Linked DNA regions of Caenorhabditis elegans. The protein of the gene in region 1 interacts with the protein of each later gene in a pairwise test. Each region holds a gene or a part of one and is shown on either strand. Other genes may lie near its edges. The genes, in order: rde-4, srw-86 and pqn-70.

Region 1 (3,721 bases):
TTCAATTTTGTCTCAAAAGATTACAATTTCATCTCAAAATATTGCGAAAGTGTGAAAATTTCTAGGAAGACTTCCGTTTTATCTCAAAATATTACTAATTTGTCTCAAAAGACTGCGAACTCGTCTCCGAAGATTGAGATTTCATCTGCAAAGATTGAGATTTCGTCTCAGAATATTGCGATTTTGTCTCAAAATATTGCGAATTTGTCTCTAAATATTAAAAATGCATTCATCGACTATTCTAGAACTGTTTTGTGATAACTCGAAGAACTTTTGTTGCCATTGAGGGGAGTTGAACTTGTCCGTCGCTTGTCGTTGAGTCTATAAACCATTATCTTACCTGTTGAGCCATCCTGTACGTGTCGCATCTAGATTTAGTTATTGCTTAAGTAAATAGTTGATGGGCGCACGTCCTTTTCGTTACCTTTGATGGGAAATCAGTGACTTTTCGCAAATTTTCTAAGTGTCAGAGCGAAATTGGATAACTTTCTTTGAAAGCGAATGTGGAAAAACGATTTATTTGTTATGCTTTTAAAAAAGTTAGATGTGCAATTTTTCCGAATTTTTGTCAAAGAGAGAAAAACATTTTATTTTTTCAATATTTTTTTTCACTAACAATTTGATTAAAATGATGAGTATACTGGGAACATGCTTGCTGTTGACAATATTTTATGATTTCAATTGAAATCAGAAAATCTCAAACGCATCACGCGTGAATGAATAGTTGTAAGTCTACTTTAATATATTCGACCAATCTTCGTGATTGTTTGACTGAATTTGTAATATGACCGGCCAATTATCTAGAAAAAATTACATGAGTGGACAGATTTGTGAATTCTATGGCTTTCTCTGCAAAAACTCCTTCTACAATATGCAACGAAAAATCAAATATCCGTTAACAGTGAGATGCTCCATTATATAGATTTTCATGTAGCTGTTTTTTACTTTGAAAAGTCTTTTATCATTTGGAAGAAAAGAGAATTTAGAACGGAACAGTAATCATAATTGTTGTATATATATCACGATCATGTGAAGCCGATGGAAATTTGGAAATGGTGTTTCGTAATCTTTATGGACTGCAAAAAGATTGCAAATTAATCTTAGAATATTACACATTTTTTTGTAATATTTTTAGATTTCAGAAAGATTGCGAACCAATCTCAAAAGATTGCTATGTCATCTCAAAATATTACGAATTTTTCGTAATATTTTCAGATTCAGAAATATTGCGAATCAACCTCAAAATATTGCGAAATATTCTCAAAAGATTGCTCAATCTAAAAAGATTTCGAATAAGTCTCGGAATATTGCGATTTTATCTTGAAATATCACCCAACTACGAAAATATTGCTATTTAATATTTTCATATTAGATTTGAGTTGCCTGAGTACTACAACTTGGAAAACATATTCGTCATGTTTCGATTAAATAAATCGTTGTCTAAATCATGTTCTTACCCTTATGAGCGATGTCAAGTCGACGATTTGTGAAGATTCTTCGGTAAAGCGGTCGACTGTCTTCTCTCCTTCGTGCCGCGAACTGAACTCGCGACCAAAACATTCACTGCAAAAATAAAAAAATAAAAAAATTAATTTCAAAGTTAAAAAAATGAACTGTAAAATAAGGAAAACACTTTAAAGATCACTTTGAAAAATATATTTTATTAAAATAAATAAATTTTATTGAAGCAATCGTTATCCGAGAGGAGTACACAGCAAATCGCACAGTTGAAACAAGTGTTACCGTACCACCGGTCTCGTTGCCTTTGATGAGAAATTACCGCAAAACTTGAAAATTGAACGTTTTTTTCTTTTCGTTTCTTTAAACGAGATCCGCTATTATTTTTGTTTCAAATTATATTATTTATAGATGGATTTAACCAAACTAACGTTTGAAAGCGTTTTCGGTGGATCAGATGTTCCTATGAAGCCTTCCCGATCGGAGGATAACAAAACGCCAAGAAACAGAACAGATTTGGAGATGTTTCTGAAGAAAACTCCCCTCATGGTACTAGAAGAGGCTGCTAAGGCTGTCTATCAAAAGACGCCAACTTGGGGCACTGTCGAACTTCCTGAAGGCTTCGAGATGACGTTGATTCTGAATGAAATTACTGTAAAAGGCCAGGCAACAAGCAAGAAAGCTGCGAGACAAAAGGCTGCTGTTGAATATTTACGCAAGGTTGTGGAGAAAGGAAAGCACGAAATCTTTTTCATTCCTGGAACAACCAAAGAAGAAGCTCTTTCGAATATGTAATGCTTTCAAGTTTATCAAATTGAATTATATTTCAATTGTTTTCAGTGATCAAATATCGGATAAGGCTGAGGAATTGAAACGATCAACTTCAGATGCTGTTCAGGATAACGATAACGATGATTCGATTCCTACAAGTGCTGAATTTCCACCTGGTATTTCGCCAACCGAGAATTGGGTCGGAAAGTTGCAGGAAAAATCTCAAAAAAGCAAGCTGCAAGCCCCAATCTATGAAGATTCCAAGAATGAGAGAACCGAGCGTTTCTTGGTTATATGCACGGTAGAACTGCTAATTAATAACTCGAAAATAATAAAAAATTTCAGATGTGCAATCAAAAAACCAGAGGAATCAGAAGTAAGAAGAAGGACGCAAAGAATCTTGCAGCATGGTTGATGTGGAAAGCGTTGGAAGACGGTATCGAATCTCTGGAATCATATGATATGGGTATGCCTCCAAATAATTGTAGTTAATATTTAATTTTACTGCTTTCAGTTGATGTGATTGAAAATTTGGAAGAAGCTGAACATTTACTCGAAATTCAGGATCAAGCATCCAAGATTAAAGACAAGCATTCCGCACTGATTGATATACTCTCGGACAAGAAAAGATTTTCAGACTACAGCATGGATTTCAACGTATTATCAGTGAGCACAATGGGAATACATCAGGTGCTATTGGAAATCTCGTTCCGGCGTCTAGTTTCTCCAGACCCCGACGATTTGGAAATGGGAGCAGAACACACCCAGACTGAAGAAATTATGAAGGCTACTGCCGAGAAGGAAAAGCTACGGAAGAAGAATATGCCAGATTCCGGGCCGCTAGTGTTTGCTGGACATGGTTCATCGGCGGAAGAGGCTAAACAGTGTGCTTGTAAATCGGCGATTATCCATTTCAACACCTATGATTTCACGGATTGAAAATATTATTGCGTATTCCTGAAAAATGAAGCGTCTGAATGATTATATCCTTTTTAAATATTTTTTTGAATAATGCCATTCAGAGTTGAAACTACTCGAAATTATATTTTTGTCGTTCTTTGTGTTTTCTCTCCCTCCATTACTTTTCCTCGTGTCAATTCTACTGTGATTGTTCTTTGTGTGCCTGCCGCGTGGTAAGATTGTGTGCGAAACGTCACAGTTTTGTGCGTTATGGTTTCTATTTCTATGAAGACAATGTGCTCTCACTCCATCAACGGGCGGCTGTGTTTTATCATTACCTCCATCACTTATAGAAACAGTAAATACCAATGATGTTCTTTGTCCGTTTTCTCCCCAACGTGGTTCCATCAATCATCAATAGAATTCTATAGAAGATGCGTAATCTCTATGCCTCTGACCTCTACAAAACTCTTTTCCACACTCATTCTCTGCAGTGCACGAGAGCGAGATTTAGAGAAGAAAAGAAAAAAGTGTGCGGCCTGCGCGCCGCCCGTCCTCATTTTTGAACGAGTGTGGGTCGCGGTCGCAAATT
Region 2 (3,185 bases), on another chromosome or scaffold:
ATTGCCTATCGAAATGACATCAACGGAGGAAGTGTGTAAAAAATGAGGAAATGATAACCGTCGGAATTTTCGAAATGTTGCGCAACAGTCGAGAAAACAAAGTTGAACCGTTTGTCGTAACACTCGGACCAGTGGCTGACCCCACCTTTTTACTTGAGCTAAATTTATAAAGAACCACTTCGGGGCAAAAGTCGCACAAAATCCTCACACATGGTCCCCCATTTTTTTGGTGTAAGATACCTGTCCAAACTGTCACATGACGCATACTTAAATTAGAACTAAAAATTGTGAGAAATTCCTGCACACGAGCACCCATCTTTCATAATGTTTTAGTCCTTTACCAATTGTCACATAACACATTGGTAAATTTGAATAATTTCGGTTTTTGAAATTACTACTTCAAAAAGTATGAATGGATTTTTAATGACCACACACCACAATGAACTTGGAAATGTTTCTTGCTCGCAAAGTTTAATCTGAAAAAAAAGAGAAAGTGTCCATAAAAATCAATAATGCAAGCGGGGGCGCCCCACTGCAAACGCGAGATTCTCTAAAATTTGCTCCTCGCAATTTTTTTTTGGAAATAATACATTTATCATATATTGCCTAAACAATTATTTATTGAATAGAATTGTTTATAAACATCAATTAGTCGCATCTTGTAAAAGACATGTCTGAAGGAAGAGAAAATAAAATAAAGAAGGTTATAAAATGTAAGTAACGGAAGTTATAGATTTCAAAGGGCTTTACGAAAAGATATAGTTCAATAGTAAGACAACGTTACTATTGAACTATAGTTAAACAACGTTGTAATAATAGTTTACTACGAATTAAAAAAATTAAAGAGTTATAAAGGTTTTTGAGTTGTTAAGAGTACATTCGACGGCAGAATGTTCATGGAGAGGAAACGGTGGCCAATGCTGAAATTTGTTCTTCGCAGATTTTTTTGGTAATAATAAAACTTACTATCCTCAGCATTTTTCAAAAATATTTCAAACTCAGATTTTTTACGTTGAAGAGTCGCAAGGGTTGCCGCACTATAATTCACCACGGCTTTATTTTTAGCGCTTTCTTTCGGGGTAAGGGTCGGTCTGGAGCAATGTTCTTGCATACCCATGATCAATGCAATTTCTTCTTCGAGCTTTTCGAGCCAATCTCTTGCTTCTCCCAAATCGGCGAAACGACTCTCTTTGTTGTTAAATTCGAATGTCAGCATTGCAGATCTCATTCTAAAAAAACCGAATTTTCTGCACAAATAATACAAATTTTGAAAAAGCCACCGCGAAACTAATGAAAATTAAAGAAACAAATGGAAAAAAAAGCAAAACGAAATGATATGTACATTGAATCTAACAAAATATTTCTTAAATTGTATATATACATATAGTATATTTGCCATGGTTAGCTCCGCCCCTCACCGCACACCGTTATTTAGTATCAGTCTCTTCGATGCGTGCCCTACCGTAACTTGCCCGGTGCTGCGTGATTGTCCCGAGGGAGGCAGATGGCAGTTGGTTGGCTAGGTCAAAGGTTTGCTTTCGGTTTATCTGAAACTTGCCTGAAAATATGCAGAAAATCTGAAAGTTGTCTGAAACCCCCAATTTTTCCCAAAATGATGAATGTTTTAAGAGAATCTGCAAATTAATACTGTATTTATCAGAAAGTAGGCGAACACCAATGGTTGATCATTTTACGTAAATTTTCAAAGCTTGTATCACAAACATTTTCTGATAACCTTCTTTCCAGTTTTTCAAAATCCACCTTTGGAACAATAGCAAGTTAAAAAGGAGTTCATCAATCTCTGAGCCTCAAAAATATCCTTCTACTAGTACTGTACTCCATACCCGTAAATGTCTCTTAAAACTTGGAATTGTGTGGAAAAAATAGTCTGAGAAAAAACAAATTCTGATCTATTTTTTTATTGTTTAAATTTCTCTTCTGCTGGTTGGCTTTTTTGTAGACAAAAAGCCTGAAGATATGCCAAAAAACAGTATAAAATCTTTGCACACGATCCTCCATTTCTTCATTTTCACTTATTTTCTACATGACGTATTGTTCTAGTGATTATGAAATTATTATTTGAGAGCATTTAATGAGTTTTTTATTGTCCAACAAAGGAAAAGTTGTTGATTTTCTTCGCACATGTTTTAATAGGTAATAAAATGTAATCGCATGGCACACATAGAAAACATTTCTTATTGAAATGAAATCAACTGAGAAAGTGTGTATGAAATGAGGAAATGATAACTATCGGAATTGTCGAAATGTTGCGCAACCGTCGAGAAAACAAAGTTGAACCGTTTGTCGTAACACTCGGACCAGTGACTGACCCCACCTTTTTATTTAAGCTAAATTTATAAAGAACCACTTCGGGGCAAAAGTCGCACAAAATCCTTTCACATGGTCCCACATTTTTTGATGTAAAAGACCATAACACATTGGTAAATTTAAAAAATTTCGGTTTGTGAAATTACTACTTCACAAAATATGAATGGATTTTTAACGACCACACACCACAATGAACCCCAAAATGTTCTTGCTCACAAAGTTCAATCTGAAAAAAGAGAGAAAGTGTCCATAAAAATCAATAATGCAAGCGGGGGCGCCCCACTGCAAACGCGAGATTCTCGAGAATTTGTTTTTCGCAATTTTTTTGGTAATAACACAACTTATCATCTTCTGCTATTGCCAAAATCTTTAATAATCATTTATTGAAAAGGATTGTTTTTAAACATCAATTAGTCGCATTTCGCAAGAGTCAAAAATTAAAGAATTAGAAAACTTTGAGAATTAGAAAACTTTGAGAATTAGAAAACTTTGAGAATTAGAAAACTTTGAGAATTAGAAAAACTTAAGAATTAAAAAAAAGTAAGAATTAGAAAAATTCTGGAATTAGAAAAATTGAAGAATTAGAAAAATCGAAGAATTAGAAAAATGAAAGAATTAAAACAATTTTGGAATTAGAAAAATTTTAGAATTAGAAACATTTCGGAATTAGAAAAATTAAGAATTAGAAATATTCAAGAGTTATACAAGTTTAAGAATTTAAAAAATTTAGGAATCAGAAAAGAATTATAAAATGATCTTCATAAGGTTTTTAAGTTGTTAAGAGTCACGTTTTGACGGCAGGTTGTTCATGGAGAGCGAGCGGCGGCCAAATCTGGAATTAGTTATTCGCAGATTTA
Region 3 (4,732 bases), on another chromosome or scaffold:
GATGCTATAATATAAGACTAGTAAAAATTGTTTGATCGACTTTCAAAATTTGAGAGATGAAAACTGAGTTTTCCTAACTTTTCGACTGTAAAAATTGTACTAATATCCACATGTAAGAGATATTATTTTTATCACTACTAGACAATTCCGCACAAAAATCGAAAAATCGGCAAAAAAACTTGTCTCTGCAATAATGAAAGTGATAGACTGCCATAAAGATATAAAATTTGAATCTTAAAAAGGGATTCGCAGTGCGAACACCTATACAACAAAACTTTATCAGTGAACAAAAAGTGATGGGTGTGTTGCGAGGATTGTCTCGCTTGTCCTGTTAACATATCTCTAAATCTCTGCATATCACATTAGCACTCATTGTCTGCTCCGTATGATTTCAAGTGCTCACACGGTACAGAGCCGGAGTCAGAGTTTTTGAAAAAGATGGCGGAATGCATGAGAACATGTGTTTACTTCTTTTGGAAAATTTATAAAATTATTGTTGAATGTTATTGTATGTAATTTTTATAAAAATAGTTCTTATTATGTAACATCATCAAATCAGTAAGATGAAGACCTCATCAAGTCGAATATCAGAAAGAATGTGCAAGGTTGACTAAAAACTTCTAGATATTTTCCTTTTTTCCATTAAAAATATGCCTCCAAAGAATAACATACAACAATAATTTTATAAATTTTCGCTGTTAGATTGTCCCATAACGGTTTGATCTACAAACAATGGGACATCAGCACGTTCTTAATCATGCGAAATCAGTTGAGGAGATAGTGTCTAAATTCACGCACGCAATTCTAGTAGGTCTAAGTAGAACAAATCGAAATGGGACACTCTGACACCACGTGAGTACCTTAAAATGTATTTAACCGAATTTTGCCGTTAATTTTTGTTTGCTTTCGAATATATATATTTTTTTTAAAAGTATCTTTATCTTTGTTTGACTTATGTGTTTTTTATTGAGATCAAGTTCTACACTTAAGCCAAATATACATTGTCTCATTCCTTATCTACATTTTGACCTCACCATGGTTTTTTCTTTGTTTAAACATGTTTGTTCACTTTTTTCCGTTCATAGAAAAGCCCCTCACAACTCTCTCTATATATATGGTTTTTCGTAAAGAGACACCACCAATTGGGTAGAACGGAAAAGTGAGCTTTTCTATCGTTTAGATACATATTGGAGTAATCCTTTGCTTTTTCTAGCACTTTCCGCTTTGAAAACATTCATTATATTTTAAAATATAAATGCGACCTCGATAATGTCTTAAGAATCGCTAGAGTGGAAATATGTGCATGGTCGAGTTTTAACTTTACAGTTGAGAGCAATTTTTCATTGGATACGACGATAAATTCTGGGTTTTGGGAAAAAATATTAAAAGTTCCATTTTGAAATCAATATTATAAATCTATTTTTTGATGTCTATTTCCCCATATCTCGATATCGCCCACTTCGTATTTCTCAACGAGAAGAGGTGTCTCCTTTCAATTTCCATTTAAAGGGGCGACCAATTCTACCGACTGCAGGTCTCGCAGCGATATCTGCGCCCTCCACCTGATGCGTACTCTTTTTACTCGTTCCGTATCGATCGCCGCTGTGGAGAACACTGAACGAACGCTGTCTCGTGATTAAATAACCAGCCACACGTCTTTCCTTTTACATTTATTTCTTTATTTCTTTATTTCTTCTCGTTTTGTCGCTTTTTACTCATTAAATATTATTTTTTTTTTTACAGAAACTTCGTCGAAATGGGTTCATCTGGAATGGGAGTTGATGCGAATGGAAAGCCAATCAAGAGACAGCCTACAACTAATAATAACAACAAGAAAGCTGGAAACAACAGCAACAACCAGAAAAAAGGAAATAATGTAAGCACTTTCTCATTTAACTTCACTAATATCAAGTTTTCACGATTATATTTCGATTCACTCGTTCTAAAAAATTAAATTGTTTTTTTTCAGCAAAACAACAAAAATAATAAGAACCAGAATGGAGGAAATCGCAACCAAAATCGCCAACATCACCAGCCTCCAATGATGCAAATGGTTCCACCCTTCGGCCCAATGGGACCAGGAGGACCAGGAGGACCAGGATTCATGGGCCCACCGAATGGAAACATGAACTTCTTCAACGGACAAAATCGTCGTAATGGCAGTGGAAAGGTATTTTTGAGGAAAATCCTTGTTTCTCCTGTTCTTCGCAATGTCTTGGACGCTTTATATCAGTTTCTTCAAATCTTGAGCCAGCCCACCGGATTCTCTAAGTTAGACCTAAATATATAGCGATCAAAATGATCAGATAAGTTACCAGAAGATGATTAAAAATAAAATTTGATTATATTACTATTGGGCGATATTTCTGCTGAATTCAGAAATTTAATAATTTTTCACAACATTTTGACGAATTCGTCCATTTCTGGTCGCAGTAAAGAGTCTTGCTTTGACATAGGACTTCAAGATTCTTTCCGACGTACAGGTTTTCTTGATTAGGGCTTTAAAGAAATGTTTTAGAGAATGGAGAAGAATCGTAAATGACGGTGGTGACTGGCTCAATGAATTCTTAATTCGTGTTGCTCAATAAGAGTAAAAATGCTCTCGGATCTTTTGATCCTTTTTATACCACATTCTTCAGGCATATCGGTTTCTTGGCTCTAATCATCAAATGAAAAAAAAACAGTTCTCCATTTTTGTTAATTTCAGATGTATTAATTCAAAAAATTTACTTTTCAATTTCCAAAAAGAGCAAGTGCTCGATGTTTTCTTTCAAATTTTTTTGTTATATTGTTAAATTGAAAAGAAAAACAAAATTTGCATTCACCGTAAAGTGAAACTTTTTTTTTGCGATTTAAAATATTACTAGTTAGATTCACCATATATTTCGGAAGAGTCTCTAGTTCCAAAATCCATGAGTAGTAAATGACGGTCTCTGTCTCCGTTGTATGATACAACTCCTCACTCGATGTATGTAATGAACAAGAAGTTTGCAGAACAACGGCAATAGAAATGGAGCCCCACCTTCAGGTCTAGTTATGTTTTCATAATGAAACGAGTGTCATTTATTTTCTTTTGATTGTTTTCTATCAGAGATTCAAATAATCTCCGTAAAAAATTACTGTTGTTAAAAGGGGACACTCTGACATCTCAAAAGATATTTCGAACTTCAAAAAAAGGCTCTAGACCGCGTGGCTAAAAATATTTTTAGGAAAATAAAAAATGAAGTATAAAAATTGAGGAGATACTAAATTTTGTTCCTAACACAATTCCCAAAAGAAACTTCGATATTTCCATCGAATTCTTTTTAAATAAATAGTCCATCGAGACTTAAAGTTTATTTTTAAAAAATTTGAAAATCAAAGATGATTGTCGCAGTAGTGTCCCCAAACAACATTTACTTTCGAGTCTAAAATTCAAATCCTTGTAGTTTTTTAGTTTTATTAGTAGATCTGCTCTCTTACCAATGAGAGCCAATATGTATTTTCTCTTTTCAACAATATTATTTTCAGGATACAATGGACCATCGGCTAACAATGTGGGACAAGGAGCTATTGGAAATAACATGAACGTAAGAAAACAACTTTTTGATGTTAAAATAATCGTATTTGAATTTAAGGGCGCTCAACCATTTGCTGGACCAGAACCATCAATGGAAGTTCCTGGATTCGGAAAGAACAGCAACATTCATGAACTTTTCGGAAAGATGATCTGGAGAAAAATGGAACAGATCAATGACGCCGCTCTTGTCGATCAACTCCAGAATCGGATAATGAACCTGATCCATGATGCCCTGGCTAGTCAGAACGATAAGCAACAACAACAACAACAGCAGCAACATCAACGTATGTTTTATTTCGGAAAGCAGACGAATTTAAAAAATTTATATTTTCAGAAGGATTCAATCAACAAAGAGGAATGCCGTTCGGAGGACCAGGAAACCAAAATGGACCATTCGGAAACAACGCTGGATTCCAACGTTTTTAAAAGAATAAAATTCTGATCTCTTCTGTTCATCCCTTTAAATGTTATTTTGCTTCTGAAATTTCGAAAAAATGTAATTCTAATCTCCGAACTTTTGTCAGTCTGATTCTCTCTTACACATGTGTTTTATAATAAATCCGATCCGTCCCAATAAGATTCATTTGTTTACAAAAAATGTGGTTTACAGCGAACGAGTCGATGGGCCGAAGGACAGTTGACAAAATGATTGAAATGTCGGGTGGAAAAGTGACACCTCTTCTTTCTAATTCAGACAAGAAAAGAGATATTCTGAGTTTTGTTTGTCTTTCTCGTTTCTCCAATGTTCTCAAGAAAAGTTTATATTTGTTAATTTTCTTTTGTTTATCATTCGAATCAATTGGGTTTTCTTCGTTATCATTGTTTTCAGATGCACTCTTTTCTTCATTAAATGTTAAAATTTTGTATAGATTTCAGATGGAATTATGGAAAAGCTGTATATTTCTGTTTTTAAATTTTTGCATTCAATCTGAAGGTATCGTCAGAACAAGTTACGGCAATTGGAATATTCCAAAAATTGGTGATAGGTAAATATTCAAAAGATCCGGGTTCCGTAAGGACAGACTATCTTTTTTTTAAATCATAAATTTTCAGTCAAAGTTTTGGCAGAATGTCAAATTTTGCAAAAATGCAGATTTTTTGATAAATTCCAATCATTGACACAGGTTCGAAACCATACGATGTTCAAATTTAAAAGTTGGAATACAATTATAA

Evidence for each region.
Region 2: the proteins of rde-4 (region 1) and srw-86 interact in a two-hybrid assay, tested with the Caenorhabditis elegans proteins (one study listed by BioGRID).
Region 3: the proteins of rde-4 (region 1) and pqn-70 interact in a two-hybrid assay, tested with the Caenorhabditis elegans proteins (one study listed by BioGRID).

The regions. Positions count from the first base shown.
Region 1 is NC_003281.10:10,216,793-10,220,513, reverse strand, and holds rde-4 (DRBM domain-containing protein), read left to right. Parts: upstream 1-1,867; 5' UTR 1,868-1,869; coding exon 1,870-2,249; intron 2,250-2,298; coding exon 2,299-2,530; intron 2,531-2,574; coding exon 2,575-2,695; intron 2,696-2,743; coding exon 2,744-3,168; 3' UTR 3,169-3,212; downstream 3,213-3,721. Other genes in the region: cox-14 (Cytochrome c oxidase assembly factor 3), read right to left, coding at 1,458-1,560.
Region 2 is NC_003283.11:19,399,485-19,402,669, forward strand, and holds srw-86 (PH domain-containing protein), read right to left. Parts: upstream 1,236-3,185; 5' UTR 1,217-1,235; coding exon 967-1,216; intron 921-966; coding exon 895-920; 3' UTR 593-894; downstream 1-592. Other genes in the region: C25F9.12 (PH domain-containing protein), read right to left, coding at 3,135-3,160.
Region 3 is NC_003283.11:11,225,715-11,230,446, reverse strand, and holds pqn-70 (Prion-like-(Q/N-rich)-domain-bearing protein), read left to right. Parts: upstream 1-1,743; 5' UTR 1,744-1,756; coding exon 1,757-1,876; intron 1,877-1,969; coding exon 1,970-2,170; exon of another isoform or gene 2,171-2,994; coding exon 2,995-3,028; exon of another isoform or gene 3,029-3,510; coding exon 3,511-3,569; intron 3,570-3,617; coding exon 3,618-3,843; intron 3,844-3,893; coding exon 3,894-3,985; 3' UTR 3,986-4,131; downstream 4,132-4,732. Other genes in the region: bgal-1 (Beta-galactosidase), read left to right, coding at 4,436-4,545.